Tribolium castaneum: one gene and its partners. The protein of the gene in region 1 purifies or fractionates together with the protein of each later gene. This does not show direct contact. Links are inferred from orthologs where the notes say so. Each region holds a gene or a part of one and is shown on either strand. Other genes may lie near its edges. The genes, in order: rept, protein SHQ1 homolog, Polr2B, MrgBP, Max, nop5 and Nop60B.

What was found.
Region 2: the proteins of rept (region 1) and protein SHQ1 homolog purify together in Homo sapiens (affinity purification with mass spectrometry; 4 studies listed by BioGRID and IntAct, with this or other methods). This does not show direct contact. The link is inferred for Tribolium castaneum from reciprocal best matches to the Homo sapiens genes RUVBL2 and SHQ1.
Region 3: the proteins of rept (region 1) and Polr2B purify together in Homo sapiens (affinity purification with mass spectrometry; 3 studies listed by BioGRID and IntAct, with this or other methods). This does not show direct contact. The link is inferred for Tribolium castaneum from reciprocal best matches to the Homo sapiens genes RUVBL2 and POLR2B.
Region 4: the proteins of rept (region 1) and MrgBP purify together in Homo sapiens (co-immunoprecipitation; 5 studies listed by BioGRID and IntAct, counting the BioPlex papers as one, with this or other methods). This does not show direct contact. The link is inferred for Tribolium castaneum from reciprocal best matches to the Homo sapiens genes RUVBL2 and MRGBP.
Region 5: the proteins of rept (region 1) and Max purify together in Homo sapiens (affinity purification with mass spectrometry; 3 studies listed by BioGRID and IntAct, with this or other methods). This does not show direct contact. The link is inferred for Tribolium castaneum from reciprocal best matches to the Homo sapiens genes RUVBL2 and MAX.
Region 6: the proteins of rept (region 1) and nop5 purify together in Homo sapiens (affinity purification with mass spectrometry; 5 studies listed by BioGRID and IntAct, with this or other methods). This does not show direct contact. The link is inferred for Tribolium castaneum from reciprocal best matches to the Homo sapiens genes RUVBL2 and NOP58.
Region 7: the proteins of rept (region 1) and Nop60B purify together in Homo sapiens (affinity purification with mass spectrometry; 5 studies listed by BioGRID and IntAct, counting the BioPlex papers as one, with this or other methods). This does not show direct contact. The link is inferred for Tribolium castaneum from reciprocal best matches to the Homo sapiens genes RUVBL2 and DKC1.

What each region holds. Positions count from the first base shown.
Region 1 is NC_087401.1:15,889,683-15,894,609, forward strand, and holds the start of rept (ruvB-like 2), read left to right. Parts: upstream 1-1,885; 5' UTR 1,886-1,957; coding exon 1,958-1,963; intron 1,964-2,140; exon of another isoform or gene 2,141-2,293; coding exon of another isoform or gene 2,294-2,299; intron 2,300-2,408; coding exon 2,409-2,794; intron 2,795-4,927. Other genes in the region: Hmt-1 (ATP-binding cassette sub-family B member 6), read left to right, coding at 493-595; uncharacterized protein LOC663271, read right to left, coding at 744-1,045, 1,092-1,231, 1,282-1,519, 1,576-1,633. UniProt on the Homo sapiens protein: Possesses single-stranded DNA-stimulated ATPase and ATP-dependent DNA helicase (5' to 3') activity; hexamerization is thought to be critical for ATP hydrolysis and adjacent subunits in the ring-like structure contribute to the ATPase activity.
Region 2 is NC_087397.1:6,231,692-6,235,603, forward strand, and holds protein SHQ1 homolog, read left to right. Parts: upstream 1-1,692; 5' UTR 1,693-1,758; coding exon 1,759-3,021; 3' UTR 3,022-3,049; downstream 3,050-3,912. Other genes in the region: uncharacterized protein LOC657396, read right to left, coding at 230-530, 674-766, 823-1,134, 1,183-1,432, 1,621-1,662, 3,050-3,309, 3,365-3,476, 3,804-3,851. UniProt on the Homo sapiens protein: Required for the quantitative accumulation of H/ACA ribonucleoproteins (RNPs), including telomerase, probably through the stabilization of DKC1, from the time of its synthesis until its association with NOP10, NHP2, and NAF1 at the nascent H/ACA RNA.
Region 3 is NC_087395.1:24,234,855-24,238,820, reverse strand, and holds the start of Polr2B (DNA-directed RNA polymerase II subunit RPB2), read left to right. Parts: upstream 1-1,166; 5' UTR 1,167-1,305; coding exon 1,306-1,324; intron 1,325-1,382; coding exon 1,383-3,541; intron 3,542-3,593; coding exon 3,594-3,838; intron 3,839-3,898; coding exon 3,899-3,966. Other genes in the region: uncharacterized protein Rsod, read left to right, coding at 1-71, 121-676, 721-821. UniProt on the Homo sapiens protein: Catalytic core component of RNA polymerase II (Pol II), a DNA-dependent RNA polymerase which synthesizes mRNA precursors and many functional non-coding RNAs using the four ribonucleoside triphosphates as substrates.
Region 4 is NC_087396.1:22,638,133-22,642,928, forward strand, and holds MrgBP (MRG/MORF4L-binding protein), read right to left. Parts: upstream 3,116-4,796; 5' UTR 1,933-3,115; coding exon 1,845-1,932; intron 1,798-1,844; coding exon 1,217-1,797; 3' UTR 1,140-1,216; coding exon of another isoform or gene 969-1,139; 3' UTR 917-968; coding exon of another isoform or gene 735-916; 3' UTR 690-734; downstream 1-689. Other genes in the region: Atac2 (cysteine-rich protein 2-binding protein), read left to right, coding at 1-130, 396-689, 735-916, 969-1,139.
Region 5 is NC_087396.1:13,930,405-13,935,131, reverse strand, and holds the start of Max (protein max), read right to left. Parts: upstream 3,061-4,727; 5' UTR 2,710-3,060; coding exon 2,671-2,709; intron 2,593-2,670; coding exon 2,521-2,592; intron 860-2,520; coding exon 749-859; intron 668-748; coding exon 544-667; intron 501-543; coding exon 328-500; 3' UTR 311-327; exon of another isoform or gene 261-310; 3' UTR 1-260. Other genes in the region: atl (atlastin), read right to left, coding at 3,844-3,966. UniProt on the Homo sapiens protein: Transcription regulator. Forms a sequence-specific DNA-binding protein complex with MYC or MAD which recognizes the core sequence 5'-CAC[GA]TG-3'. The MYC:MAX complex is a transcriptional activator, whereas the MAD:MAX complex is a repressor.
Region 6 is NC_087394.1:30,826,631-30,831,130, forward strand, and holds nop5 (nucleolar protein 58), read left to right. Parts: upstream 1-1,460; 5' UTR 1,461-1,627; coding exon 1,628-1,672; intron 1,673-1,728; coding exon 1,729-1,805; intron 1,806-1,857; coding exon 1,858-3,406; 3' UTR 3,407-3,464; coding exon of another isoform or gene 3,465-3,499; 3' UTR 3,500-3,520; downstream 3,521-4,500. Other genes in the region: transcriptional protein SWT1, read right to left, coding at 1-102, 271-426, 475-622, 679-1,149; TH1 (negative elongation factor D), read right to left, coding at 3,465-3,499, 3,547-3,676, 3,722-3,862, 3,911-4,121, 4,238-4,490. UniProt on the Homo sapiens protein: Required for the biogenesis of box C/D snoRNAs such as U3, U8 and U14 snoRNAs. Part of the small subunit (SSU) processome, first precursor of the small eukaryotic ribosomal subunit.
Region 7 is NC_087394.1:7,771,118-7,774,390, reverse strand, and holds the end of Nop60B (H/ACA ribonucleoprotein complex subunit 4), read right to left. Parts: intron 2,179-3,273; coding exon 1,904-2,178; intron 1,832-1,903; coding exon 1,488-1,831; intron 1,432-1,487; coding exon 1,389-1,431; intron 1,343-1,388; coding exon 1,202-1,342; intron 1,147-1,201; coding exon 1,075-1,146; 3' UTR 954-1,074; downstream 1-953.

The DNA of each region.
Region 1 (4,927 bases):
CCGGTGGTCTGATATTGAAAGTTAATTTATACCTAAACCGTTGAAGATAGAAATATGGTGTCGCGGACTTTTTTGTAGGAAATTTAATTCTCCACAACTTTGTTCCTTACACTTTTTTTGTATCTTCAACCGTATTCGCAGCGTTTGCAAAAATATAAGCTGGGACGAACATTGATAATTTTCTGCGCACCGTCGCATATTTATCAAAACGCTGGGAATACGGTTAAAGATACAAAAAAAATGTAAGGAACAAAGTTGTAGAGAATTAAATTTCCTACGCCTTCAGTTTTACTCTGCCGTACTATTTCTTTAGGTTCAGAAAATATTCGTTTCGCCTCCTAACTTATAGTCCTCCGTAGAACTGACATAATATGTTGCCAAACTTAAAAAAAATTTTTTTTTGTTATTTTTACGCATATGTCAGTGAATGTCAATATGTTGGCACCATTGCCAGCCATTCGTAAATTTCAGTGTTGCCACCCATTTTTTCAGACACGAGCACTTGATTGGCCAGGAAGGCGTGTACGCCTCCATGTGGAAGCAACAATTGGAGAGTAAAGAAAATTCAGCCGAGACTAGCCTTGAGAGGAGTTAATCCCCACCCCACCCCCCACTATTTACAATTAGTTGCCGAGGTTTGGGGCTTATTAAGTGAAAAAAAACGCTTCGTAATTATTGATTTGTATTGAACAAAAAATAAGTTGACTGTCATATCACTAGTTTAAATAAAATATTTCTATTGACTATGGTAAAAATAATTCTTCTTCGGGAACCCTCGCAAACACTTCGTTAATATTCTGCGACCACACTGTTGCCATCACTTGCTCAATGGCGGCGCCAAAGTCGGCATAAACAGTTAGGGAATTTTCGTTGATTGTTTTCATGATTTGTTGGCTCAGCTGTTCGTTACCGTTGATTATGTTATCATAGGAAAAAATCACTTTTTTCGGGTTGAATTTAAACACGTGCTCGGTCATTCTCAAGTGAGTCTTGCCTTTTTTGGTGTACCTTTCACATTTGAAGTGATTGGCGCCTTCAACATCCCCTAAAAAAAGAATTAGGCACGAGGCGAAGCCGAGTGCTTCACTCACAGAACGTGTTATTACACTTCCCTTCACCGTTTAGTGTGAAAATGAGCAACTTTCCGTTGATTTTGTAATCGGCTTCCATACGCACGACGGGAGTCAAGCTATCGTAGCTCCAATAACAACTCCCTTGCGTAAAATTAACCCTAAAATTTTTTTTCAATTTTTTTTTTTTTTTTGTTAATTTTATTGTTACTTCGAATTTTTGATCGTAGCCGAGGTGATGCCGTGAATTTTCACATTTTTGTAAACTTGCTGGAGCGTGTCCTTGGACGCTTGGCCCAAGGTCACCTCCGGTATAAGCAGTGGCTCCAACTGACTAATCCCCAAATCCCTGTTCCCCATGGCCAACTTACGCACATCTTCCATAACATATTTATCCAAACACTGGTTTAAATTAGGATCCGATTTGCGACATTTGATAATTTCGGGCGCTTAATTAATTAATTAATTAATTAAAATCAATGGTTAATTCAATTAAACGACTTACGCAAAGTTTTGGCAAAAGTTGAGCCAAAAACAAGCACCACAAGTAAAATCGCACTCATTATTCTACGGAATCAAGTCGAAAACTATTATTAAAAATGAGTTAGTGAAAAGTATTTGTAGTGTCGAAAAGTTGAAAACCTTGTAATTCGTACATAATTTTCCTAATTGCAACAATAGGCAATTAGGGAGCGGAAATTTTGTGCTAATGTGGCACAAATGAGGCAAAAACGCCCGTAATTATTGGTTTAACATTGTTTTAAACTGTTTGAATGGAAATTGGCGCCGGTTTTCGGCACGTTGGCAGCACTTTGTTTGAAGGGCCCAGTGTTTGATCAATTATTTCAATTAATTAATTCAAAGTTTGGGTTAATTGTGGCAGTGCTATGGCTGTAAGTATTAACAAAACAATCATTTATTAATGAAAAAAGCCCACAAAAAACAATTTTTAATACAGAAGTTACACAGTTGGTATTACAAAAATTTCAAGTTTGGGACGTTTTTGTCACATAAAACTTTTTTCCCGACGAATTATTTAATTTAATTATGTGTTTCGAGTAAAATTAATATAATAATTATGCTTAATTAATTAAATTACGAAGTGGGTACACTTTTTCTGGTGATTTTCGCAGTTACGTTGGTACCGCGTCCCTCCATTGTTTTTGCATTTCCTTTAAAATTGTGCATAAAAACGCAAAAAAGCCGCAAAAACCACAACCCCAATGGCTGTAAGTACCCCATTCTCCCTTATCTCGTTAAAAACACCCTTTTGCTGATAACATTATCGCATTTGTGTCGTTTTTGCGGCGTTTGCTGACCCTAACCCCACTTTCGCAGAGCGCCGCCGCTGCAAAAATCGCCGAAGTGCGTGAAACCACGCGCGTGGAGCGCATTGGGGCCCACTCCCACATCCGGGGGCTGGGTCTGGATGAGAGTCTCGAGGCCCGGCATGTCTCGCAAGGGATGGTGGGGCAGGTGTCTGCCAGGAGGGCTATCGGGATTGTCTTGAAGATGGTGAGGGAGGGGCGGATTGCTGGTCGGGCCGTGCTTTTGGCGGGGCAACCGGGGACGGGGAAAACGGCCATTGCGACGGCTCTGGCCGCCGCCCTGGGGCAGGACACCCCCTTTACGAGCATGGCAGGCTCGGAGATTTACTCGCTGGAGATGAGCAAGACGGAGGCGCTGACGCAGGCGATTAGGAAGAGTATCGGGGTGCGGATCAAGTAAGTGCTGGAATACCGGGTGACTGTGATGAATTGTATGGGGGAATTATTTGGCAATACTGCGCTTGTTTTATGAATTAAGAGTTCAGATTTATCACAAAACTGACGACAAGATCCGTTTTATTTATTTATTTATTTATTTAACGAAAAATTTTTTTCTACAAAATATATAAATTACAAAACCACAAAAAATAAAATTATTTAACAATAAATGATTAATATCAAGAATCATTTAGCCTTAACAGCGAATGTATAAAGTGCTAATGGCTTTTCAGTAGTCACCCGGTATAAAAATGTCAAAAAAAATTGAAATACTATAGTCGGTGTATTGTTGGTTGCCTATATACTAACTTCTGAAACTTTGAATTTATAGTTTTTATTGATTTAGAAATCTGTTAAAAAATATTTTTTTTTCTAATTTAGTCGTTTGTTAAGCTTAAAAAATTTTTCCCCGTGTTTTTTTTTCGGGAACAAAGATTTACAAGAAAAAAAACAAAACAGTGTGTCTCGGAATTTATTTTGCAAAATTTAGTGATGAATTCTCTAATTTTTCAATATTCAATATTCAATATTGAGGGTTATTTTAATAAAAAAATATTTTCGAAATGGAAAGAATCTACTTTTTCTATTTCGTTGATTTTCTACAACGGATTTTTTTTACTTTTGTGTGCTTCTTATTCTGTTTTTTTTTGCTTTCTTTTCATTTTTTTTGCTTTCTCTTGATTTTTTTTATTTTTTTAATTTGTTACAAGAGGTTTTTTTTCTTTTTTGTGTTATTTCTTTTTTCGTTTATTTTATTATTGATGTTTTTCACTCTCCCGTAATTCTTTGGACTTGAACCATATTTTTTAAGTAATTTTATTTTTTTGGTTTTGCGACGATTTTAATTTTTTGTTATACTAATTTTGTTTTTTTATAATATATGTTGGTAATTTAATTTTATAGTTCATTTTCAAATATAAATATGAAAACGTTTAATAAACTAGCAGGTTTGACAATAAATTACACCCGACAAGATTAGAAAAGATGGTTATTTACTTTGAAAAAAAATATATAAAATTAAAGAAAAAACTAAATTTATTTTTATGTTTAACAGTTTAACTGAAAGTTTTTTATTAGTGGTCCGTCACTTTTGGGATCGCTATATTATGTTTTGTTTTACCAGTTTTTTTTTAATTTTTTAATTTTATTTTGTCTTTTTTAATTTATTCATGGAGAAAAAAAAATTAAAAGCTTGAAAAAAATGGGCATTTGCTTTTTTAACTTATTTTTTTGGTTCACATTTATGTTTTATTTTCCACTTTTATTTAACACATTTTCTCTTTATTTTCTATACATTTTTTTGTTATTTGTTAATTAGGTTTTTGTGTCTACATATTATTTTTTCGTATTTTGGTTTTCGTTATTTCGTATCGATTTATGTATTAAATTCTTGGATTTTTTTATATTTTATTTCTTGTTTCTTGTAGGCGTTTCCTAATTTCACTTATTTTTGATTTATTTTATCAAATTTATTTTCCAAATTATTTTCGTTTTTCAATGTTTATTTTATTTTTTTAGTCTGTCTTTGTTGATTTATTCGTGGAAATTGGGAATAATTAAAAAATCGAAAAAATTACCGTTTATTCATAATGTTAAAGTAACGTTATGAACTTTAAGAGTTAAAGCGACTTCAACTTTATGAATAAACAATAAAAGTGTAAAAAAAATTCAATTTTTCAGTTATTTTCAATCTCCACAAACAGAGGGAATAAGAAAATTTTATAATTTTTTTATTTTGTTCTTTCTTTTGTAATAATTTGACCTCACTTTTGAATTTTGTTAACTTAATTTTTTGGTTCACATTTATCTTTTATTTCGCCTTTTCTCTTTCCTAAGAGTTTGCAACGATTTTTTTTTATTTTCCAATTTTATTAAACATATATTTTATTAATTTTTTTGTTTGCTCACCTTTTATTCTTCTATTATAATCATTTGTTAATTACATTTTTTCGTCCATATTTTATTTATTCTTTTTCCCGTTTTCGTTATTTTGTATCGATTTATTTATTAAATTCATTTCTACAACATTTTTTTTTTGTATTGTACTTTATTCTTTTATTCCTTTCTTAATTTGTGCTTATTTTTGATTTC
Region 2 (3,912 bases), on another chromosome or scaffold:
TGACCTATTCTAGATTCGTGACGAAACCCTAGACAGTCTCATGAAATTCGTTAACTATACTCACCATAGAGCAACAATTTAATCTTAAATATTCTAAAATGGTAACTTCATAGACTATTACAACGTTAACCACCTACCGAAAGAAACTAAAATAAATAAGTGTAAAGTTTGTCGAAAAATCCAGATCTAAAATTAGTCCCATGCAAGTCTTTGTACCTAAGTTACATAACTAAACGTTAGTTGGTGGCTCTAGGCCGCAAATGATCGACTTCATAACACTAGCAGCGGCTAGAGACGCATACGGTTGCCACTCTTTGCGTCTAGTACCGTCTTTATAATCAGAAATGCCCCGAATTATGATAAAACTATCCTTGCAATTGCCAAGAACCGACTCTATAACAGCGTCAAATTCGCAATCGAACGCCAAAGCCCCCATTTCAGACGCAAACTTCTGTCTCAAGCGGTCATCGCGGACGATCAGACGGCCTGAAGCTATGGTGGATAAGTGGATGCGAGGGCAACCCTCCTGCCTAAAATGCAAACATTCGAAACCACAAAACAACAAGGAAAAAGTGAGTCGTGTAGAACTAATTACGAAGTGAGGAATTACTCAACTAACTGTGATTTAATAAATACTGTGACTACAAAACGGTGCGGTTCTACAACCACCCACCTAAGAATTTTTCTCTTAATCGTTCTAGTTCGACTCGAGAGTGTTTTTCTCGGCGTAATCACCGGTTTTCTCCGAATTTCCGGCTTTTTATAACTAATTCACACAATTAAATTCACGTAATTGATAAGTTCAGTTAACACAATACAAACCTTTTAATGTTTTTGTCCTGTGGCACAGGATGGGCCACTTCGATCAAGTCCCTTTCACCGATAGTCATGTACAGTTTGTCGGTTTCCACACTCGGGGGGTTAAAATCGGTCTCGATTTGCGAACTGAGAATATTTAAACCATCCTTGAGATATTTGGCCCACGGTGAAACCGTCCCATTATCACCCGAATCGGACGACTTTAACTGTGAGGAAATGTCTTGCAAAATGAAGTTATTGGGGCGGTAGTGTTTGACCTCAAAATCGTAACCCTTATCGCTGACTTTGGCCGTCTCGCAATAAACGTACACGTCCCTAAAGTTATCAATTAATGCCAGTCATTTTTCGCATCAAATGACTCACTTATTATCGACGGGATGCGAAATCACGACGTCTCCTAACCGGACATGCTTGTTATAGTCGGTGTAATGGGGGACTCCCCCACCCACACCGACCAAAAACACATAATCTACCTTCTGGAACGTCCCCAAAAGTCTCGTGGTTGTGTTACCAGCAGCGGTCATTGCTTCCCGAGTATGGCCCACTGAGGGCAATTTCGTGCACACAATACGGTGGGCCCCAATGTTCCCCAAAGTGTAAACATTGGATTCCCCTGGAAAATCACACAGTTACAAGTGCGCCAAGACAATGGCAAACACCCCGTGATAATTACAGTGTTAGTGAACAGTGGAAAGCATTTTGCATACAAATGCAACATTCACAAGTGATTTTCGTGATCTATGTACAAACACAAAATGGTGACATCACAAGTGATTCCCCCAGAACTTGCAATTATCTTACCGAAGCGGGCCCTCGGTTTGTCACCCGTGGGGCTACTGGGACCTGTTCAATAAAATTGCTGTTTAAAATTGGCGCTGTTACATGTCAACTGTCAAACACACCTAACCTCACAAACCAAACTTAGTGTGTGTTTTCACGATGATAACGCCGCGATTTAAGCTAACACAAACCGAATCAACCGTCACAATACAAATCCGAGCCCCGTACTGTAATTTAGGCGAGTTGGAGGTGACCGTCGACGACGACATCTTCATTTTCTACACCAGCCCCTATTACCTGCGCTTACACCTGCCCGGGCGCCTCGTCGAGGACAATTTCAGCGAGAGTTCGTTCGATTCGGACTCGGGACAGTTCAGTTTCACGATAAAGAAGGCAATCGACGGGGAACATTTCCCCGATTTGGACCTGATAACGAAACTATTGACCCCCAAAGTCGAAGTCACCGAAGACAACCGCAAAATTACTATCGTGGCCAATGAGGGAATCAAATCCCCGGACGAGCTGAACGAAGAGTTTGGGTTCGCACTCTGCGGCAAGGAAAACTTCAACCATGTCTCGGCCGAATTCAAGGACGTGTTTGAGGTCGACCCTCGCGAAGTCAATTTGGGGCAAAGGCACAAAATGCGGGTGCAGTTCGAGCAAGGCAAGTTCAATATCGATCACTACTTGAGCGACTACATCGAAAACGAGGAAATTTTGGAACTGATCGCGCTGGAAGCGCCTTGGGACAAGTTAAAGTCGGATGATGTTCAGTTCAGCGACCAGGAACTGGACTTCCTTAAGGATTTACCGAACAAAACGTACAACTTGAGCGAGACACAAGTCAATTATTGCCACTGTTGTCTCGTTGATATTTTATACGCGTATTGTTACGACCGACGGACGACCCAATTTGAGGGCACCTCTGAGTCGGGTTGGACCATTGTCAAGTTAGCCGCGACGTTTTGCTGGCTTGATGTTTTCCAAACGCCTAAGGATGCCCTAGTTAGTGCATTCCGGCGGAGTGTCATTTACCCGCTTTACCGGAATTTCGAACTTAACCGAACCGTTTTAACCGATTTGAGGAAACTACTCGATTTGGGCGAAAAATATATAATCAAGTGTTTGATTGAAATGTACCACATTTTTTTGACTGGCGATTGTTGCCGTTACATTCTTAACAATTTGTTCATTAAGGATTATATCATTTACATCATGAAGTGGGACAGGACGAAGTGGAGAGAAGTCGTTGAAGAAATTAAACAAGTGACGATCGAGAAGAGTGACCTTGGATTGAATCTCCAAGAAATCGAAGACGACGTTTGTCGTAATTTGGACTTGAACAATTTGCAAATCAGAGATGATGATTCGGACGACTTTAGTGATACTTCGAGTGACGATAGTTCAACCGAATCTGATTAATTCTATTGTCAATAAATTAGTGACTCACCTACTGTTGTATATCTCACGAAAGTCTCCTTGTTTTCAATCATCGCATCCACGGCCAATTTCTCACAGTACTGGGCTGTGATTATGGCGATTGTCGGTTGTTTGGAGCTGACCATCGTCGGCATTTGTTTCACGATAATTACTTGAGTATCGTGGGACTGTTGGCGGGTAAAAGCGCCATGTTCCATGGCTTTGACAATGTTGCTTGATTGTAAATCGGCAATGTGATGGGCCACTTCCTCCTCATCCCAACCATTTTCCCTATTTTTGTTTTGTTGATTTGTTTTTAATTGTAAAAATCAAGCCAATGACTTACTTTGCAATGTCTTGGATTGTGATAGGGTTCGGATAAGACGATTCAATTATTTCTAAGACTTTTTCGCGCGTCAGTAACACTACATTTCCCAATGAGTTTTCGTCGGCTGATACTGAAAAAATACAAATGAAAACAACGAAAATAATTTATAGTTTCCATAATTTATACGTCCTTGATATAATAATTAAATGAATGGTGCTAAAAACAATCGAGCGTAATGATTATGACGTCAAGTTGCCACAAATAGCGTTTCCTGGGACAATATATGGAAACTATGTATTGACATAATAAAACAATTGTGAAAGTCAACACATAAATTATTCATTCCACTATAATCTGTTACATATTATTCGGGTTAAAAAACTAATTTGATGCATTTTTTAGTTGTTTTGTTAAGTTGCAAACAATAGAACTACAATTCGCAATCTCAATCTCAAACCTGAGTTACAAACAGGTGCTAGCTCGATTTGGAGGTAACCAGGTCGCGCTATAAAACCACAAAAAATTCATTTTTTTTTCAAATCAATAAAGTAATAAATGATTATAAC
Region 3 (3,966 bases), on another chromosome or scaffold:
AGAACACGCGGTGTGTGGCCGGGGGCTACATCTGGAACCCCTATTTCACCCAACTGGCCGACCCCCTCAATGTATATTTTGCTTTTTTTTTAATTTTATAATATAATGTTCTGGTTTCAGGGTGATCTTTATCGGCAAGAGTGCGGGCCTGAGAACCCGCTCAGGTGCCACGTGGGGGACCTGTCGGCCCGTTTGGGGACCATCGACATCGGGCTCCAGCGCAAAGTCTTCACCGATGCGAATTTCCCGCTCGAAGGCGACGTCACGGCAATCGGGCGCTCCATCGTCATCATGAGCCCCAACAGACGTCCCGAACGTTACGCCTGTGCCAATATCGAGCCCGACTATGACATAATCAAGTACGCAAACATCGAAAAGCCCCCACGTTTTGTCCTGTCGCAGTTTATCGAAGAAGTGCGCGAAATTCTGGGAATCCCCGACTGGTTTTTGACCGTAGATTCGCGCAAAACCAAGTCTTTGCACAGCGACGCTTGCGTCCAGCTTTTGCTGCATTTTAAAGGACCGCTAGCTAACCGATTAGAGCAGGATTTCAGCCGATTGCTGGCAAGTGGGCGTTTAGACACCCCCACATTGTACATTCCAGGGTTTATTAATACGAAACGTAAGGTGAAAATTGCGTACAAGCAGTGTGGAGTACAAGACCCCAACGAGAAGAGTAAGTTTATGGATTAGGCGACAAAAAATGAGTGTATTTTGCAGGTAAAAAACGGACCGGATTTTTCTTTGCACGCTCAGGAAGCAACCCAGCCAAATTTGCTCACAGTCTGATTGTAGTGATAGTTTTAAGCTATTTATTGTAATGATATGACTGTTCCTAATAAAAAAGTAATATATTACCATGGAGTTTGAAATTTAGCGCCAATAATGAAGTCACGTGGTGCAATCCACAAAAAATCAAAAACGCAATATAATTAAAAAATTGGACTTGTTACCACTTACCTGACCTTTAAGTCACATTACAGATAATTATTAAATATTTTTTTGGTCGAATAGTGTAATTTAACATCGTATCTTGAAAATCTGGAGACTTTTTTGTTGTATGGTTACGTAACACTTCAAGGTCATTGCAGGAAAATAAAAAATTGGGCCGTATTTAACAAGTTTTTTATTTGTTTTCCAAAGTATTGTGTTTGGGGCTACCCCCCGAACATAAAATATTAATTTATTTCACAAAATAAGGGTTTTCTTGGGGTCCCCATACAAAGTCAACTGACACTTGACAGACGCTCAAAACTTGTGTTTTGTGCGTCTCATTTGTGCCCCATTTTTTGCAAATAATCAGCAATGTATGAACAAGACGAAGGTACGCAATCCCCCTTGAGTAGCCCCCGAGCCATTTGTAACAAAAACCGGCTTTTCAGACCAATTCGACGATGAAGAGTCTGAAGAAATCAGCTCCGAGTTGTGGCAAGAGGCCTGCTGGATCGTCATCAACGCCTATTTCGACGAAAAAGGCCTCGTCCGGCAACAACTGGACAGTTTCGACGAGTTTATCCAAATGTCGGTGCAACGAATCGTCGAAGACTCGCCCCAAATCGACCTCCAAGCCGAGGCACAGCACACAAGCGGCGAGCTTGAAAACCCCTCTCGGTATTTACTGAAATTCGAGCAGATCTACCTATCCAAACCGACCCATTGGGAGAAAGACGGCGCCCCCTCGCCCATGATGCCCAACGAGGCCCGCTTGCGCAACCTGACCTACTCGGCCCCCTTGTACGTCGATATCACCAAGACCATAGTCAAGGACGGCGAGGACCCCATTGAGACCCAGCACCAGAAAACCTTCATCGGGAAAATCCCGATTATGCTCCGATCCACGTACTGTCTCCTCAACGGTCTAACCGACCGCGACTTGACCGAACTCAACGAGTGCCCCCTTGACCCCGGCGGCTACTTCATCATCAACGGCTCAGAGAAAGTCCTAATCGCCCAGGAGAAAATGGCCACGAACACCGTCTACGTCTTCTCGATGAAAGACGGGAAATACGCCTTCAAATCCGAAATCCGCTCCTGTCTCGAGCACAGCTCGCGCCCCACGTCCACCCTCTGGGTCAACATGATGGCACGTGGGGGCCAGGCGATCAAAAAGGCCGCCATCGGGCAACGAATCATCGCGATCTTGCCCTACATCAAGCAGGAGATCCCCATCATGATCGTGTTCCGGGCCTTGGGGTTCGTGGCCGATCGGGACATCCTCGAGCACATTATTTACGACTTCGAAGACCCCGAGATGATGGAAATGGTGAAACCGTCCCTGGACGAAGCGTTCGTGATCCAGGAACAGAACATCGCACTCAACTTCATTGGGACCAGGGGGGCCCGGCCGGGCGTCACCAAAGAAAAGCGTATCAAATACGCGCGAGAGATCCTCCAGAAGGAGATGCTGCCCCACGTTGGAGTGTCCGATTTTTGCGAGACGAAAAAAGCCTACTTTTTGGGGTACATGGTGCACCGGTTGCTCCTGGCGGCTTTGGGGCGCCGCGAGCTGGACGATCGGGATCACTACGGTAACAAACGACTGGACTTGGCGGGGCCCCTGCTTGCGTTTTTGTTCCGTGGGTTGTTTAAAAACTTGATGAAGGAAGTACGGATGTATGCCCAGAAATTTATTGATCGGGGCAAAGACTTTAACCTCGACTTGGCCATTAAGACTAAGTTGATTACGGACGGGTTGAGGTATTCTCTGGCGACTGGTAACTGGGGGGACCAGAAGAAGGCCCACCAGGCCAGAGCCGGTGTCTCGCAGGTGTTGAACCGTTTGACTTTTGCCTCGACTTTGTCGCACTTGAGACGTGTTAATTCGCCCATTGGACGTGACGGGAAGTTGGCGAAGCCCCGACAGTTGCACAACACGCTCTGGGGGATGATTTGTCCGGCGGAGACACCAGAAGGGGCGGCTGTTGGTCTGGTGAAAAATCTGGCCCTCATGGCGTATATTTCGGTGGGGTCGCAACCCTCTCCAATTTTGGAGTTTTTGGAGGAGTGGTCGATGGAGAATTTGGAGGAGATTGCGCCGTCTGCCATAGCCAACGCGACCAAGATTTTTGTTAATGGTTGCTGGGTGGGAATTCACAGGGACCCCGAACAGTTGATGGCGACGTTACGCAAGTTGAGGAGACAGATGGATATTATTGTGTCGGAGGTTTCCATGATTCGGGATATTCGGGACCGGGAGATTCGCATTTACACGGATGCTGGACGGATTTGTCGGCCGTTACTAATCGTGGAAAATGGGACTTTATTGTTGAAGAAGCGCCACATTGATATGTTGAAAGAGAGGGAATATAATAACTACGGGTGGCAGGTTTTGGTGGCTTCAGGGGTTGTCGAATATATCGATACTTTGGAAGAGGAGACTGTGATGATTGCGATGTCTCCGGACGATTTGAGACAGGAGAAGGAATACGCGTATTGTACCACTTACACACATTGTGAGATCCATCCAGCTATGATTTTGGGTGTTTGTGCCAGTATTATACCCTTCCCGGATCACAACCAGAGTCCCAGAAACACATATCAAGTATTTGTTTTGGTGTTGTTTGAATTTTTTTAGTAATTAATTTTTTCCTCAGAGTGCTATGGGCAAGCAAGCCATGGGTGTGTACATCACCAACTTCCATGTCCGCATGGACACCCTTGCCCACGTCCTGTATTACCCCCACAAACCGTTGGTTACAACCAGATCAATGGAATATCTCAGATTCAGGGAATTACCGGCTGGGATTAACAGCATCGTGGCCATTGCGTGTTACACCGGTTATAACCAGGAGGATTCGGTTATTTTGAACGCGTCGGCCGTCGAAAGGGGATTTTTCCGGTGAGTATTAAAAAAAAGTAATATAGTAGAAATAAAATAATTTGTTATTTTGTGCTTTAGATCTGTGTTTTACCGCTCGTACAAGGACGCCGAATCGAAACGCATCGGCGACCAAGAGGAGCAGTTCG
Region 4 (4,796 bases), on another chromosome or scaffold:
CCAACTTATCTCAAACAAAACGAGCGAAATTTGGGCGAAGCTCAGCCACGTAATAAGCCCCCAAGTGAGCAAAATAAGGAGTCTGTGAAATTGCTCGACCCGTTTTGTCACTACAACACTTGCTTTAGCAGTAAGTCAAGTGAGAGGTGTGCAGGACTAAAGCTAGGAGGCAAGACGAGATTTTTGTAAATATTGTAAAGATTCTGATTTATTGAAAAAGTTGAGAAATTAAGTTAAGTTAAGAAAGGTCATAATTGAATAAAAAAATCTGCCCAAGTACCAATTCCAAAAGGTTATTTTGCGCTTAAAATTTGCTCGATTTTTCGTCATGCCACCAAATATTTTGGTCCCCCATAGTCCCAGGGCTTAAGAATTTACTCCAAAAATAATTTTAGACGCGTTTAGGCAGAAAGGAAGCGAAATGAGAGTCAGGTTGATGGGTGGTATCAGAAAAGAACTAATTCTCTCACCTTACAGCAGCATTTATTTAAAACCTTACATACGAAGAGATACAGAAACTTATCCATCCTGGCTACGCCTAATGGCCGAGATACAAATGAAAGCAAACGAAAAAACACAAAATTACGTTCTACCTCCAAGGGCCCCTATTGACTACACCTACGTCCAACCTGAGCACATACCTGCCATTAACAGTCTCTGCAACAACTTTTTTTGGCCAGGAATCGATCGTAAGTGTCCGAAATGTTACAACACAATTTAATTTTTTGTTGCAGTAACTGAAAGTTTGCAATATCCGGATTTTAGTTGCGTAGTTTTGTACAAAAAATTAATAGTGGCGTTTGCGTTCCTCGTCCCCAATGTTAAATACACCGAAAATTACGTCTCTTTTATTTTTACACGGCCAGGATGGCGAAACGTCGGGATTGGAAAGTTCATGTTGTATCACTTAATCCAAGTAATTGAAAAGTCGATTTTTATTAAACTAGTTGGTTAATTAATTATTTCAGACAAGTCTCGGCAAAGATATCACACTACACGTGTCCATCAACAACCCGGCCTTGTTTTTGTACCAAAAGTTCGGTTTTAAGGTGGAAGCAGTCGTTTTGAATTTTTATGATAAGTATTTACGCGAGACAAGCGAATCGAAACATGCGTTTTTCTGCCGCCTTGAGAGGTGATGTTGCTCCGAGTTGCATCGTGTTTTACGTAATTTATTGAGGCACTTTTTATTAATTTTAATAAAGTGAGAAAGAAACTAAATGCGTCGCCTTTTTGTCACTGGTGGTGTGACTGTGATTGGACTAGATTTACCACTCGAACTGGAATCGTCAGGTTTAGAGCTGCCTCTAGTAGGGCGCTTCGTCAGTTTTGGTGTGTCGTCACTTTTCGCTTTTGCCTTGTTTTCCTCCCTTGGTGTACTACTATTACTCTTACCTTTACTTTTACTCTTTTCAGCCTCTTTCTTGATTTCTTTTTTCGCACTCACTGGGGTTTTGTCCTTACTGTCTTTACTATCACGCCTTGGCACCTCCTTACTGCTCCTCACAGGAGTCTTTTCATCTTTTCGCAATTCCTTGAGCGACTTGGGCGTTTCGCGCCCTTTCTGCGCCAATTTCTTGTCCTCTTCCTTCTTCACAATGAGGGAACCGAAGTCGGAATCGGGAAGTGTGAACTCTTTCTCACTATTCGGGAACGGAATCGACTCACTCTCATCCAAAGCTTCCAAATTGTACATTGTCTCGAGGTGGGCCCACACCTTGTCCGAGTTGATCTCCTTCTGGCAACTATCAGCGAACTTGTCACAGATGCACGCCATTTGGAAGTACTTATTGACGCCTGAAAGGGGGCTTCAGTTTTTTAGGTTAGGTTCGTGGGGGACGTACCGACGGGCTTGTGCCCCACCATGGCCTCCAGGAGCTGCCCCTCGTGCGCCACGTTCCACTCGATCTCGTCCATGGGGCCCTTAATCATTTAAAAACGGAATTAAATTATTTAAAACGCCAATTGACAAATGACTGTTTGAGGGCGCCACTGCCGCCATCACGGTCAATTTGAAATTTTAATTAATCTTTTAGTCATTATTGTTTTACAGGCCACAGATGTATTATCAACTACATTAGAATGTTGTTAGAACACTTCAACATTTTTTTTTTGCAAAATAAATGCATTCAAGTCTTGACACACGTTTTTTTGTTTGTGACCCTGAATCCCGTATTTTCCTTTTTCCTTAAAAAAAATTTAATTTGAGCTCGTCAAAGTACCGATAGTTATTAAAAACACGAGCTACAATGTTGGTAAATGATTTACTGAAGAGTTTGTCCAAAGTTTCAATTTAAAACTGCCGGTTTGGGGAATTTGGCGCCGTGTGCGTGGTGCTCTTGTCAAATTTTGGCGCAATTTGATTCAAATCACGTTTTTTCGTCCTGAAAAGTCCGAGACGGGAACAGAGCCGGACTTGTGGAGCTCGGAATTCGCTTCGGGTGTGGGCCGTGCTTGGAATGATTGTGAGCAATGTGGGTCCGGTCCCCGGCGTTGATTCGGGGCCCAAATAAATAAACAAGACATCCCGGAACTGAATTAGCCGCTCCGGTGAAATGGAGTCTTCGGTTCAACGTTCTGGTTGCGGTCATTGCCTGGTATCTTGTCAGGCGGCTCTTCTACAACACCGGTATATAATCCAGCGTTGCCTTGTTCAGCCTTGCCTTCAAGAATCGATCGAGACAGAGATGGAGGAAAAAACGGCCAAAAATGACTGAACTCGTGAACGCTGGAGGCTCCAGCTTTTATGTAACGCTGCTTTTGGTTATTTTGCAATTAAACGGGCCCCGGGACCTTCACTTCCGAAAGGGGGCGAAAAGAGGGCAATAAACCGTGACTTGTGATTATGGACGTGTTGACACTGCGACCCCCGGTGTCGTATAATTATGCCCGATCGATTGTTTGGAAATGGAAGTGGAATAATTTCGATTCAGTAAATTCGCCGCATTACTATTCGAATTGTTGGCCCCGGAAGGGTCCGGGTGGCTTTGTATGCTTAGTTTCAAATGGTTTTTATCGATGAAAGTCAACAGCAGATGTTTGTACGCGAAATATTCTGTAATTTACATTACGGTAAATATTGGAGTTGTAGTCATTTTGCAGCTCCTACAAATAACTATTAAAAAGTAAGCAAACTCACATCTGTTTGGCTCGAGGGGCTCTTAACTCACCTATTTATAGGTTTGTGATTGCTTTGTTATTAAAAAGGGATGGGCACCTTATAATTAATTTTTTCCCACATTCAGTTTTACCAAAGTTCGTTGTCCTATTTGCAATAAATTTATGATTTTTTTATTATCTATTATCCGTTGAAAAAGTTGCATTTCTGAGGACTGTGAGGTCCCGTAAGGCGTCTTTTTGTGTCGGAATTCACCAAGTCAAGCCGACTGTGACTGTAATATTTCAATTCTTAGCCTTGCCAGCAAACGGTTTCCCTTGTCTAATGACTTGACGTCACTTGTGCAATTAAAATTCAAATCGTACCCCATTATGCGCACAGTTATGACAATAAACAGGCCATTAAGGCCCAAATCGCCGCAATCCGGCGCCTTTCCCTCATTTTCCAGGGCATTCCTCTCTGCTTTTTATCCAACACGGATCTCGCGATAAAACACAAATCTTATTAAAATTGCACATTTTTTGCGAAAGCTGCGATTTTGCCCGAGGATTGTACAGTAAAGTCAATAATTGCCATTGTGTTATTGAGTGGCTGTAAATGAAGACGACAGCGCACTTTGGAGTTTCTCCACGCAAAAAAAAACAAAAAATCTAACTTTCTTCTTCTCTCATGACAATCCGAAATAAAACAATTTTTTGTCAATAATTATAATAAGCGGAGCTAAACTTTGGATGAAATACACACTTATTATACATATAGAGTGTCAAGTGAACTACGTGAAGCTTAAAATTGTTTAAAGCTGGGTTTAAATTAAACCGTACCTTTGATGTCGCTTAATAGGACGTGACATAGAAAAATTAAAAGTCAAAAAAGCCAGTCAGTTATAAAACTTAAACAGATATTTATTTTTACGTATTTTGTTATATTTATTTTGTTTCAAATTTTTCTTATTTTTTTATTTTATCGTGTATCTCCTCCTCTGTTGAGTAAAATGGCAAAAATGTGCAAAATGGCCAAAAACAGATAACTTAATCTCAAGTATTTGCCAAATACCTACCTGTGTTAGGGAGGTGCATACGTTGTCAGCGATTATATTTGGATGTGTATAAAGTTACGAGCTAATTTTTAATTAGTTTTTTTAAATTTGAGCTTGCTTATGGATGCCCAAGTTTGAACTTTTGCACATTGGCGTGCAACGGTACCATTGCATAAATTAAGCCCAGCACTGGTACAGTCGTGCGAAAAAGTGTAAGAAAGGAAGAAAAACGTGCGATTGGCTAAGCGCAAAAGCAATAGCGCGTGATTGGTCGTTGTCACCAATTCCATGACTGTTTTGATATTATACAAGTTGAAAACATGCGAATGTCGAGAGTCTGCGAGCACTTGACGGAAGAGGAGAAGAAACGGCGACATTCTCGGAATCCGTTAAAATAAGTAAGTGGGACTAGGATGTGGCAATTGAAACAACAAACGCTGGAAACGCCACACCTGCTGCTGTACCTTTGCAGACAAGCAGTGCAGGTACCTGCATAGCTGCGAAGGTCACACACTCTAATACAAGACATTAAATCGCACTCTTACCTAATCGCGGCCGTAAAAAGCCATCGCGGCTTGTATTACATACTGCTTATTGCCTTGTTAGCGATTTGTGCCAGCCATTTTGAAGAAGGCTTGCTGC
Region 5 (4,727 bases), on another chromosome or scaffold:
ATAAGAAAATAAACTACAAATATTTATATTTTTATACACAATAGCTCTTTAATCCGTAAAATGTAGTTGGTTCAAAAAAACAACTGTAAAAAAACTTAATAAAACATTGTTATTTTGACATTTAGAGATGACTGAAGATCCACTTTGTCTTCACTAATTGTTACAAACTACTGAATTGTACTGACAAAAATATGCGGACGGTTTCACCGCATTAAGAAGAGTCAAGTTTTCAAATCTCGTTTCTTCTTTAGTCTGCCTAACTACGTTAAACATGAAGTGTTAAAGTAAAAACGAAACGAGTTTCAATTACCATCAGCTCAACTTCTGCTAGTGGTAAGATCCAATTTTTTGTTTCTTTGGCCTTCTGGGTTGAACAGACCCTTCCAAGTCTGAAGTATCCGATTCGGTTTCATTGTAATTTGAATCTTTACCGTCGGAAGATTCCCCTCCAAAAGAACCCGTGCTTTTGGCCTTTTCCAAGGTACGAACTGTAACTGCAACTATTAAAAAAATATTTTAAACAAGTCTGAGAAAATGTATTACTCTGCGCTTCCAGAAGACTGTTTTGCCTCTTGAGATCTTCAATATCCTGCTGATGGGAATGGTTCTTTTTCCTCATGAATACTATATATTCTGCAGCTTTCTTCAAAATTTGCGCTCGACTGGCCTAAAAAGCAAAGATACAATTGCCACGATATCTGTCTTACGAGTAATCGTTCAGCAAACGTGAAAAATCGGACAGACGTACCACTTTTTCGCCGTTGAGAGCAGGAACAGAGTCTCGCAAACTGCTAAAACTGTCTTTTATGTGGTCTCGCCGTTTCCTTTCCAGCGCGTTGTGGTGCGCCCGCTTCTCAGCCTAAACAGCATACAACCAAATAAACACCAAAGCAGACCCTTATTTTTTTTTACTGGTTAAATTGTGTGTCTGACCAAATAAATTACATAATGCAATAACTCAGCAATGACTATGACACTAGGAAAATTGAAATAGGCACAAAACGAAGAGGAACACCTTTTATTATAATTTTAAAAGTTGTAGCACCAACCTCTTCAAAATTGTAAATGGCATCACCCCCCTTTGTGATACATGTTTAGTTTTTCAAATAGTAAACAATTTAACAAAAACCATTTCTTAAAGACAATTATGCACCAATAAGATGAAATTGTCAAAAGACAAATTATTATCATTGTATTTTTTTTATAAACTGTTTTGCAAAATTAAATTAAGGCACATAATTTTCGTGTGAAATAAGTTTTCTTTATTTTAAACATGGCTTTATGTAAAACAATACTATTTTAAATGATTTATAAAAATTAATATTTTTATTTTCTGATTTTTTAAAATGCATTTATTCAAAACAAATTGTTATTAAATAGTTCCGACGTATTTACGCTTATGTAGTTACTTACAACTCAAACGTTTTTTTGCGTTTGACATCAAAGATTTGTCAAACTACACGCATTATGCGGAAATTATAATTTCCAAACAAAAAAATGCTGACTTTCTATAGCAGCTACATTTTTCAATAAAAAAATATATTTTCATTTAACGTGACGTTGGTTAATAATGCAAAATAAATGGCAACTTAATTCGAATCATGTAGTTTAATTCTAAATTAAATTTTAATTCCGCTTTCTGCAAACTGGCTCGTAAAAGAATTTATTTCGTTCGAAACTACAAACTTCTGTTATCAACTTATCAATGTATTGACAAATTTGAAAAAAAATCAAGCAGCTTTTATTCTTTGCCGCCAAACCTCGTCACCAAATGTTTAATTGCAAATATTAATATGACTCACAACGTTGACACAAAATTTTAATTCAGCAGTTCTAGTCTCTACAGTGTTATTTTTTTTATTCTTTGACTAATAATTATCGTTAAGGTCATTTAAATGCATAGTAGTCAATTTACTACAAAACAATATAACACGGCGAAGAAAAAAAGAACGATTTCGTTATTAGTACTATTATTTGTATGTATTTGTATTTACATAAATTCTCAGAAGAGAAAAGATTACTGAAAATTTAAATTAGTGATTTTAAAAGTGCAAAACATCTAGCGATAATAAATAAAACAATGTAAAGATTTTAAGCTTCAAGAACGTTTTTGCAGCTTTGTATTTAAAAAATATTCTATATGCAAAAGTAATCCTTACGGACAATGATTTTGCGATTGCAAAAATAATTAAAAAATAAGCATAATACAGTTGCTCAAAGCTACAGTAAATTTTATAAAGACTTTCTTCTTTAAAATGATTAAATTGTGCTTAAATAACGGAAGCTTGCAAAATAATAACCAACAGCTAATTTTTCCATAAAAAAACTAACAGCAGTTGTTTATTGTAAATTCATTTCGAGATGTTGCATAATTACAAAATTACGTGGAAAGCAGTGTTTATTTCCATTGCGATAAATGAAGACAAACCAAAAAATCAAGAATATTGAGGTGCAAAAAACGAAACGAAATAATTAGAAAGTACGAAAATTCGTCCCTGAACTGGTGGCCAATTAATTTACCTGTGAGTAATACTGGCTTCCAGTGGATTGTCTGCTGGGGGTTGGCTGCCGGGAATCCGAATCGTCACCTTCCTGAAATAGGGGGGTACATAATGAATCAATGTTAATATTGATCCATGTGGTGTTTTGTGTATAAACAACACTACTCACATCGCTTTCGACGTCAATATCCCGATCGTCATCGCTCATTGTAAGAAGTACAGAGTCCTGAGGTGAAAACGGCTTATTTCAGGTGTAATACACAACCATCGACTTGTACTTTTCCCAAAATGTCACAACACGAGCAAACTAGACGTGAGTCGCACAATGTGCGTGACCTGTCATACTTGGCCAACTAGAACCACTCGAAAGTCCAGTTCTTTGTCACAAAATTCCAAAATAGGGGCGACTTTCCACAAAACGGGGCGCTAAACCGTCAAGCACCGAACTCTATTAGCGATTCTGGGGCACTTTTCCCGAAAAGTGTGATTTAGATAAGCTTTCTGACGTTTTATTTGTACCCAATTTTGCACCGACCCTAGCTGAGAAAACAAACGTCAATTACCGACTGAGGCGTGCAACTTGTTGGGGTTACACGTGTTCTGTTGCGCACGTGATTTAGCCCAGACGCGAACCAAAAAAAGGGCGGAGAAAAAATTCAAATAAAAATAATAAATTTATTCATAACCGAAACCAAATACAGTTCAATTAAACTACAATAAAAAATAAAAATAAATTGAGCAGTTAGCTAAAAAAATTGTTCATATCTAGCTGAATAAATTATAACATGGTTCGTAACAGTCTAAAAAAAATAATATTTATTGTTATAAAATTTGATTTGGAAATAGTAACATTCAATTCAGTTTGTCTTATCTATTCACTAGTAACAATAAAAATGCGTTTTTATCATTAGTGTACTGGAGACTTGGACACCACAATACGAAATCACAAGACAAACAGTAAAAACAATTATTGGGTTAATAAAAGGCACTTGGGTGGTGAATTATATTGCAATGTCAGTACTGTTCACGATTACTACTCTAGTTAAACGGAGAAACTGATTGACCAATGGAACATGTAATAAATTTTGCAAACTTTACATAACAGTGTACAATAAAATGGTTACGTAATAGATAAAATTGTATTATTTTTAGAAGCGTTATGTACAAATAAATTACAATAATACCAACATTGCCAAGATATCACATAATCAGCAAAGTTACATACTATGTTCCACAATATATGGCAAGACAAAATCCACAACAATCCAAATCACGTGACGATTAACGCGTTAATATGTAACGATGCTTTTAGGGTGCTATTGTAACAGACGGGGGAATGTTATCACGCCTGTTTCTTGCCGTTGGTTGTGATATTAGTTGCATTTAGGACAGTTCTTTCAGCTACTTCGGCAGCCATTTGCTGCATACCGTTCTCGACGTAAGCTTGTACGACGGGTTTCATAGACTGAAAAAATAAAAATATTACGATTCACACAACAAAACATCGAAATCGTTAGTCAAATCCATGCAAGTATCTAGAATTGATTAGTACATACGTTTTCTTTCTTTTCTCTTTCTAAAATAGGCATGCTACAAAAAGAAGATATCTTTAGTTATAGCACTTATAGCACAACAAATGTGTAACTAAAATAACGGATATCTAAAGCTTAGGATATGAAACGACGTACAAATAAAACGTTCTCGTCCCCCATAAGTTTTCAGAGCAATGAATTTGAAAAAATGGTTGTATTTGTATAACTGTTAACACAGAGCAAACAAAAAATAAAAGCAGATTGTGCATTTAATTGTCAATAGTAAGACGGAAACAATGCAAAAATATAAGGTGAAACGCAAAATAATTATTCTAAGCGATAATTTTTTGCGGACCGTTGTATATTTATCAAAACGCTGGGAATACAAATGAAGATACAAAAAAAGTGTAAGGAACAAAAGTTGTAGAGAATTAAATTTCCTATAAAAAAGTCCGCGATACCATATTTTTATCTTCTACAGTTTAGGTATAAATAACTTTACTTAACCACCGGTAAAATAAAATGAAAGCGTCGGTTAGGGTCTTTGAACGTCTTTGGGGCCTAAACCGTTGACTATAGAGATATGATCTCGCAGACTTTTAATAAAAGTTTAATTCTCTGCAAATTTCTTCCTAACATTTTTCTTGTATCTTGAACCATATTCGTAGCGTCTTGAAAAATACGAGACGAAGCG
Region 6 (4,500 bases), on another chromosome or scaffold:
TATTTTCATATTTTTCTAAAACTTGCATACAGCAAGCAATTATTTTGTTATCTTGATTTGCACCTACACTTTCCTGTTCATTAGCTTCCATTAGTGTCTGCCCTGAAAAAATAATTGCTATTACTTTTGTCACTGCTTCCTTATCCAATGAAAAAAGTACCGTGAATTTTTTGTTTACTAGAGCGACTCATGTTAAAGAATAAAAATAAAGTTCAATGGTCATAATAAAAAAATGCAAACACTTCTACGTGAAACATTGTTTCAGTATACCTTTCATTCTATTATGTTTACTACTCATAGTTTTTTCTATTAACTTGATGGCATCTTGAGCTTTCTGTCTGAGGCTACGTTTGTTTGAATCGCCCTTTATAAAGTCTAACTCTTCTGTAACAATCCAGGGAATGAAAATGACTGGCTCCCTGGGTCCTATAACAAGTGTGATAAATATTTATCCATTGTTACACATTTCTTTACCTTTAACAGCTAATGTAACAATGTTAGCAATTATATTCAGCTCTGATAAGAATATATTCGTGTCAACCACAATATAAAACTGACAAGAACTCGTAATTTGTGAATTTAAAGTATTATCACTTGTGCTTTTGGACTCCTCAATATCAGTCTAAAAAGACAATTAACTAGAATATTAAACTGAATAATTAAATCAAGAGAGTATACAGGACACCATTCCATATCCTCTTCTGAAACAACTGCTGTCTGTTGAAAGCCAACAGCAAATGGATTTGGAGATTCAGTGGTAAACACATTCGTTTGTGTTAGAAACTCTTCTTTAAAAATGAAAGGAGTTCCAGGTTCACTGTTCGAACATTCCCCTGAACTCGAGGCACTTTCCTTAATAAACAGTTTTGTAGACACTTCATGTTGCACTGAATCAGTTGGTCGTTTCCGCACACAATTCTTGTCTTTAAATTTTGGTACAGATTGAGCAGATTTTGAAACTTCTTCATTTAAGCTAGTCCTAAGCCTCTTTAACCTTTCATTAGCTATGTTCTTTTTCGGCGTAACACTAATGGTACGTTTCGTTCCATGTTTTAAATGACTATCCTCTTGAACAATTTTTTCCGGAAAAATTTTAGGATTCCTCTCATTTTTTCGTTTGGCTACGAGGACTTTTCGTTTGTCTGACATTTTAATTTTTAGCAAAAAAAACTTCTTTTAATTCATTTTCAAATAACAATTTTCTGTTTTCTCGCAAATCAGCTGACAACAACAACAAAACGCCATCTTAACTTGATCACGTGATATGTACAATGCACCCGAATTCGACCTGTTGTTAAGATCGACTTAACCGAATGTAGGTGAAACTGAAACTTTTTTACAAGTAACCAGTTAACGCCAGTTACTAATTACAACTCCCACACATACTAAAAAGAACTTGGGTTTTTGTAAACTGGTGTCAAATAATCTTAAATCTGCTTTATTTAGATTTACATTGGAAAGGCACGTGGGGGAAAGAACCAAGAGTTGGTAATTCTTGGGGAATTCGTGCGAGTCGACAATCTCGCCGACGCGCTAGACCTCATGGTTTCTAATTGTTGCCGGTTTTTATCGTTAATATTAAAAATTGGTGGGTTTTCATATAAATTGTTGTAATACAAAGTGAAAAATGTTGGTCTTATTTGAGACAGCGGCAGGTTACGCGCTGTTTAAGGTAATTCTGCAGTAAAGTTGTTGACAAACTTAACCTCAAATTTTCCATGCTTTCAGCTTCTGGATGAAAGCAAATTAAAAGAAGTTAACAATTTGTACCATGAATTTGATTCACCCGAGTCGGCAGGAAAAATGTACGACCTGTCCTAGTTTCAAAATGCAAACTTATTAGTAAAATTGTTTTAGTGTGAAGCTGAAACATTTCGAGAAGTTCAATGATACCACTGAAGCCCTGGCTGCCACGACTGCAGCCGTCGAGGGCAAAGTCTCGAAAAGCTTGAAGAAGGTGCTGAAGAAGCACATCGACCAAGAATTGCAGGACAAGCTGCTTGTGGCCGACGCCAAGTTAGGGTCTGCCATTAAAGAGAAGTTCAATTTACAATGCGTTTCGAATACAGCTGTCCAGGAGCTGATGCGGTGCATTCGGTCGCAATTGGACAGTTTGATAACGGGGTTACCTAAGAAGGAAATGACCGCGATGGCGTTAGGTTTAGCTCATTCCTTATCACGGTACAAGTTAAAATTCTCGCCTGATAAAATTGATACAATGATAGTCCAAGCGGTTTCGTTGCTTGATGACCTCGATAAAGAACTCAACAACTACATAATGAGGTGCCGCGAATGGTACGGTTGGCACTTTCCCGAGCTTGGGAAAATAATCACTGATAACGTTGCGTTCGTCAAAACTGTTAAAATCATCGGAACGCGTGATAACACCGCCAGTTCTGACCTCTCCGACATTCTCCCCGAAGAAATTGAGGAGAAAGTCAAGGAGGCAGCTGAAATATCAATGGGTACTGAGATATCCGACGACGATATTTTAAACATTCAGAACTTGTGCGACCAAGTTGTAGAAATTTCCAATTATCGCACCCAGTTGTACGACTATTTGAAGGCCCGTATGATGGCGATGGCCCCAAACCTGACAACGTTGGTTGGGGATTTGGTGGGCGCTCGTTTGATTTCGCACGCTGGGTCTTTGATAAACTTGGCCAAACATCCGGCCTCCACGGTGCAGATTTTGGGGGCTGAGAAGGCGCTATTCCGAGCCCTCAAGACCAAGAAAGACACCCCGAAGTACGGGTTGATCTACCACGCCCAGTTAGTGGGGCAAAGTAGCACCAAAAACAAGGGGAAAATGTCTCGAATGTTGGCGGCTAAAGCAGCCCTCGCAACTCGAGTCGATGCTCTAGGCGAAGACGGGAATTTCACGCTTGGGGCGGAGCACAAAGCCAAGTTGGAAGCACGTCTTAGAATTTTGGAAGAGGGGAATTTGAGGAGAATTAGCGGGACGGCGAAAGCCAAGGCCAAGTTTGAGAAATATCAAGGGGTTTCGGAAGTTCAGCAGTATCCTGCTGCTGCCGACTCGACGTTACCTTCGACTTCGAAGAGGAAGAGGTCAGAGTCGGAGCAAGTGAAGGAGGAGTTGAACACGACTCAGGAGACTCCCAAGCAGAAGAAGAAAAAGGTCAAGACGGATGAGACCAATGACAGTATCAAGGAGGAGGATGAGGACAGTGGTGAGGGCCAGAAGAAGAAAAAGAAGAAGAAGAAGGCGAAAGAGGAAGCGGAGGAAGAGGTGGAAGCGGAAGTTAAGGAAGAACCTGAGGTGACGCCTGGGAAGAAAAAGAAGAAGAAGAAGTCCGAGAGCGAAGCTCCGCCTGAAGTTGTTGAAGAGCCAACAAGTGGAAAAAAGAAAAAGAAGAAGAAGAGCATTTCCAAGGAAGATGAATAATTTAGCGGAAGGTTTTTTATTTTTTACAATAATAGACATTCTTATTATTAAGGTGCTGTTATACAACAGCGGTGTAATTTGCTTTGCAATAGACTAAAAACAAACAATAAGAAATTGATTTACCACGTTTTCCCACTCACCGATAAATTCAGACACGGGGTCGTTCTCCCCATCTCCTCTCATTGTTCCCGTAATTTCGTCATTTTCAACCATTGGCATAAATAAGTGGACGAATTCGGAGCTATAAGGGGGCCCGATGGTCTCCAAAACCTACAAAAATTGCATTTTCCGGTCATTTTTAACAAAGTAACTTACTTCCGTTACAAAGTAACGAATCAGGGATATGTCCGTGTCGCCTTTTTGCCAACACTGTTTTATGTACTTTACAACGGGTACCACACATCCAGCACATAGCAAATTTACCATTCTGTCAAGGACCATTTTGCGCATTTCAAGCTAACAAAAAAAAAACTGAAAAATATCGTAAAAAAATTGATAACTTACTTGGACTAAAATTTCCAGTTCGTCTTGCTTGGATTCAAACAACCTGATTAGTAAGTCGAGTACTTGATTATGGAGAAGAGGGTGACAAGTAACTACTTCATCCAAGAGCGCCAAATGAATTGGAGTGTGTTCTGTTGACAATTTAAAGTAACTTGCTTCGGTAACAGTGCACTCAACCCAACGGATAATTCCAACAGAAACGACTGGATACCTAAAAAAATAAATATAAGTTTCTTAGTTGACAATGTTTTTGATAATGGTGATTTACCGACATTTTATTTACAAAATTTATTCAGTTTTTATTAAAATATCATCTTAGAAACTTACCTGAGACACTGATACAGCGTTGCAAGTTCTGCCATTAGCTCTGAACTCCCTTTATTGGTATTACAAATATTGTGGACCGTTTCAATTGAATGAATAGTCGCTTGAAGTTCATCTTTATTGACCACTCTTTTTTGCCCTTTTTTGGCTTGCATTTCATAGACACTTGCTGCATAAGCTAACAAATGGATATATTTGGGCTTGTGGTCGGGGTTGAGTTTTACTCCAGGTTTAAACAAGGCATCAATCAATAATTCTGAAATTGT
Region 7 (3,273 bases), on another chromosome or scaffold:
CAAATATACTTGCGACTTAGTTGCAATACATACAGCGTGCTCAAAAACTGGCGCACCAACTCAATGGTGTGTGGTAGAGAATTGGTAACATATAAAGGTAAAAATAGTAAAAAAATTCTTTGTATTAAAGTTATTGATAAATAATGGATTTTATATAAATGATATGTGGCAACATTGTCTAACAGTCATGATCGCAATAGAATTTGAGCAACAATAAAAATAAATTATTTTTGAAACGGTTTCCTAGGAAATAATTCCCAGTGTTGGCACATCTACACATTGTGATTTTTTGGATGAATTTTAATTTTTTTAAATTAAAAAAACTGCTAAAATCTGATAGTAAATTTAAAAATAATTATTCATCGTTTTGTTACGGAACGATTACCTGGTATGAAACATAAAAATATAAAAAAATAATGAAAACTAAAGAAGTTAACACAATAAGTTTGTAGCTCCAGATTTTTTAAAATATAACTTTGGGAATTTTTTCAACATTTTTCCCGTAATCTGTACTTGCTTCTCAATAACGTACCACTGAGTTGGTGCGCCAGTTTTTGAGCACCCTGTATAAGAATATTGTTAACGTCAATATTTGTTATAAACACTAGGCAACTACTTTTATTAATTTCTTTAAATGTGACAATTTTTTAACAATTTTTAGTACATGTTTATATCAAAAAACCTAGTCCTCCAGACTATGAAAAAAATATATAAAACAGAAAAGTAAAACCATTATCAATATTTTTTTGATTTCATTGTTTTATACTTACTTGAAAGATGGAGTATTATCGAAAAAAATAAAAAATGAACCATTACTCAAATACCAGTGTCATAAATATTACTAAAAATGTACCATTTCAAAAAAAATATAGAATTACCAAACTGGACACCCGGTATACCTACAAATTTCTTGCACTTGTACCACTACATCAAACTGGAAAAATCAAAGCCTGTACGATAAAATTGCATTTATTTTCGCTTAACACGACTGTGTTTATCTTAGAAAGAATTTAAACTTAATTCTATTAATGTAGTATTGTAGAGCTACAATATAAAAATGCAAAACAAAATAGTTCATTCCGCTTCCTCTTCCTCCCTATCTTTACTCTTATCCTTTTTCTTTTTCTTCTTTTTCTTTTTTTCCTCCTGTAAGAATAACAGTGCAATAGGTAATTTAATAATAATTGATTGTCTCATTTACCCCATTATCTTCAGCAGTTTCCTCTGACACTGCTGTCGCTTCTTCAACAGTGCTTTCCTCACCTTCGACCTTCTTCCGTTTCTTCTTCTTCTCTTTCGGACTCGCTGTATCGGACTGCATTGACGTGTCCGCTAATTTACGCTGAAAACAAACAATGAATTGCTCATAAAACGAAAAAACGTCTTACTTTTTTATCATCTTCATCGTCCTTGGTGTCCTCTTTCTTAACACTGGAAAAAAATTATTGAATTGTTTTTAAACTTTGCGCAAAATTAAAAACACTTACGAATAATCAACGTAACTATTTAGCCATTCTTTGGGCGTATTTTCGTTCGGTTTTCCGTATTTGTCGAGCTGTCCTTTTGCAATAAGAATTTTTTTCTGGCTTGTTCGTGGTCCCAAGCCCCATTTTCTTGGATAAGTGTCTCGTTCCATTATCACACGTTTGATTTTCGCGACAACTCCGTGGTCACAACTGGCTATTGTTGCAGTGGTCATCAGTGCAATCCCTAGTGCTATGGCTTCCCCTTTAGTGGTCACAATAACAATTTCTTCGTTAAGTTCAATATTGTCTTCATAGCGTAAAATACCCGGTAGCAAAATTTTAGCTCCATAGCAAACCGCGTTTACCTAAAATTATGCCATTTATTGTAGAAAAGTTTTGTTTGTTAATTGATAAGTTAGTGGGAAATTATGTATTACCGAGCTGTCTTTCATAATTATCCTTTTGTGTTTGACCAAAAGGCCTTCCAAAGGCCGAATCACTCGTCGCAGGTAATTCTCATCTTTGTGATTCTCGTAAAGCCATTGAGCGTCTAAAACATCATGCATTGTGGCCATTTGATCTTGTTCGCTCTGAATTCCCGAACGAACTCTTCGAAGTTCCAACATTTGGCCTCCAACGCCCAAAACCAAACCCAAATGAACACACATTGTACGAATGTAGGAACCAGCCTCGCAACTAACCCAAAACACGCCTAAAATAATGCATAATAATTAAACATTTTCAAAGTTTAAAAAAGACAGGACTAAAATTAGGCCCTTTAGGCATCCAAACTGTTCTAATTAACTGTTCTAATCAGTAATAAATTCGATTTTGATGAGTAAAAAATAATAAATGATCAGTGTATTTAATTAATTTTTGCACATTAATGAGTGGTTTAATATTTTGCACAGTAAAAAATTTAAATGAGAAGTAAACCATGCACAGTATCTATTTCAGTTTGCACAGTTTAAATAATAAACGCTCATTACCTAGCATCTATCATTTTTACTGTTTACTATTTATTAATTTTACTGTGCATTTATTATTTTTATTGTGCATTTATTATTTTTACTGTACATTTATTATTTTACTATACATTTCTTATTTTTACCATGCCTTTATCAATTTATCATTTTTTCTGAACAAAAATACTTGTTGTTTAAATAAAATACTCTGCATTTAATTTATACCCTTAAGTTAATGCAATTTGAAAAAAAATAGGGGAATTAGTATTTTAATTTTTGCTAAGCTGGGAAAAATTGAAGGTCAAACTTTCCACGAGAACATAAGAAAAAAAAATACAAAGTAGAAATAAATGTACACTTGGCATTATTTCTTTATTTATTTTATTTAGTATTTATTTTTCAAGAATTTTAGCACGTTTTAGGTGATTTCCTTGAAACATTTTGTGAAACTGTACGAAAACATACTAAATTATAAATCAAAAATGACGTTTTTGTCTTTTTAAGCGATTTTCAGATTGGTTTACGAACTTTTGGTAAAAACAAGCCAAAAACCAGAAAGTTTGATGAAACTGACAATCTTCTGCCTTCGTCAAAACATACTTTTTCGAATATTTTATCACGTTTTTGAGTTAAAACTTTCTGTTTTTTATTGTAAAATCTTGTCAAACTGTGTCAAAAATTCACTAAAATAGACGTGTTCTTCATTTCTGTGACAAGTTTGAGACCCAATGTCACAAGTATTTTACGAAATTATAAAGATAAGTTAAAAAGTACAAATTTCGAGCGAAATTCAGACAATGTTTGAGCTAAACACGTAACTGTTTCTCTAAATTTTGCCAAAT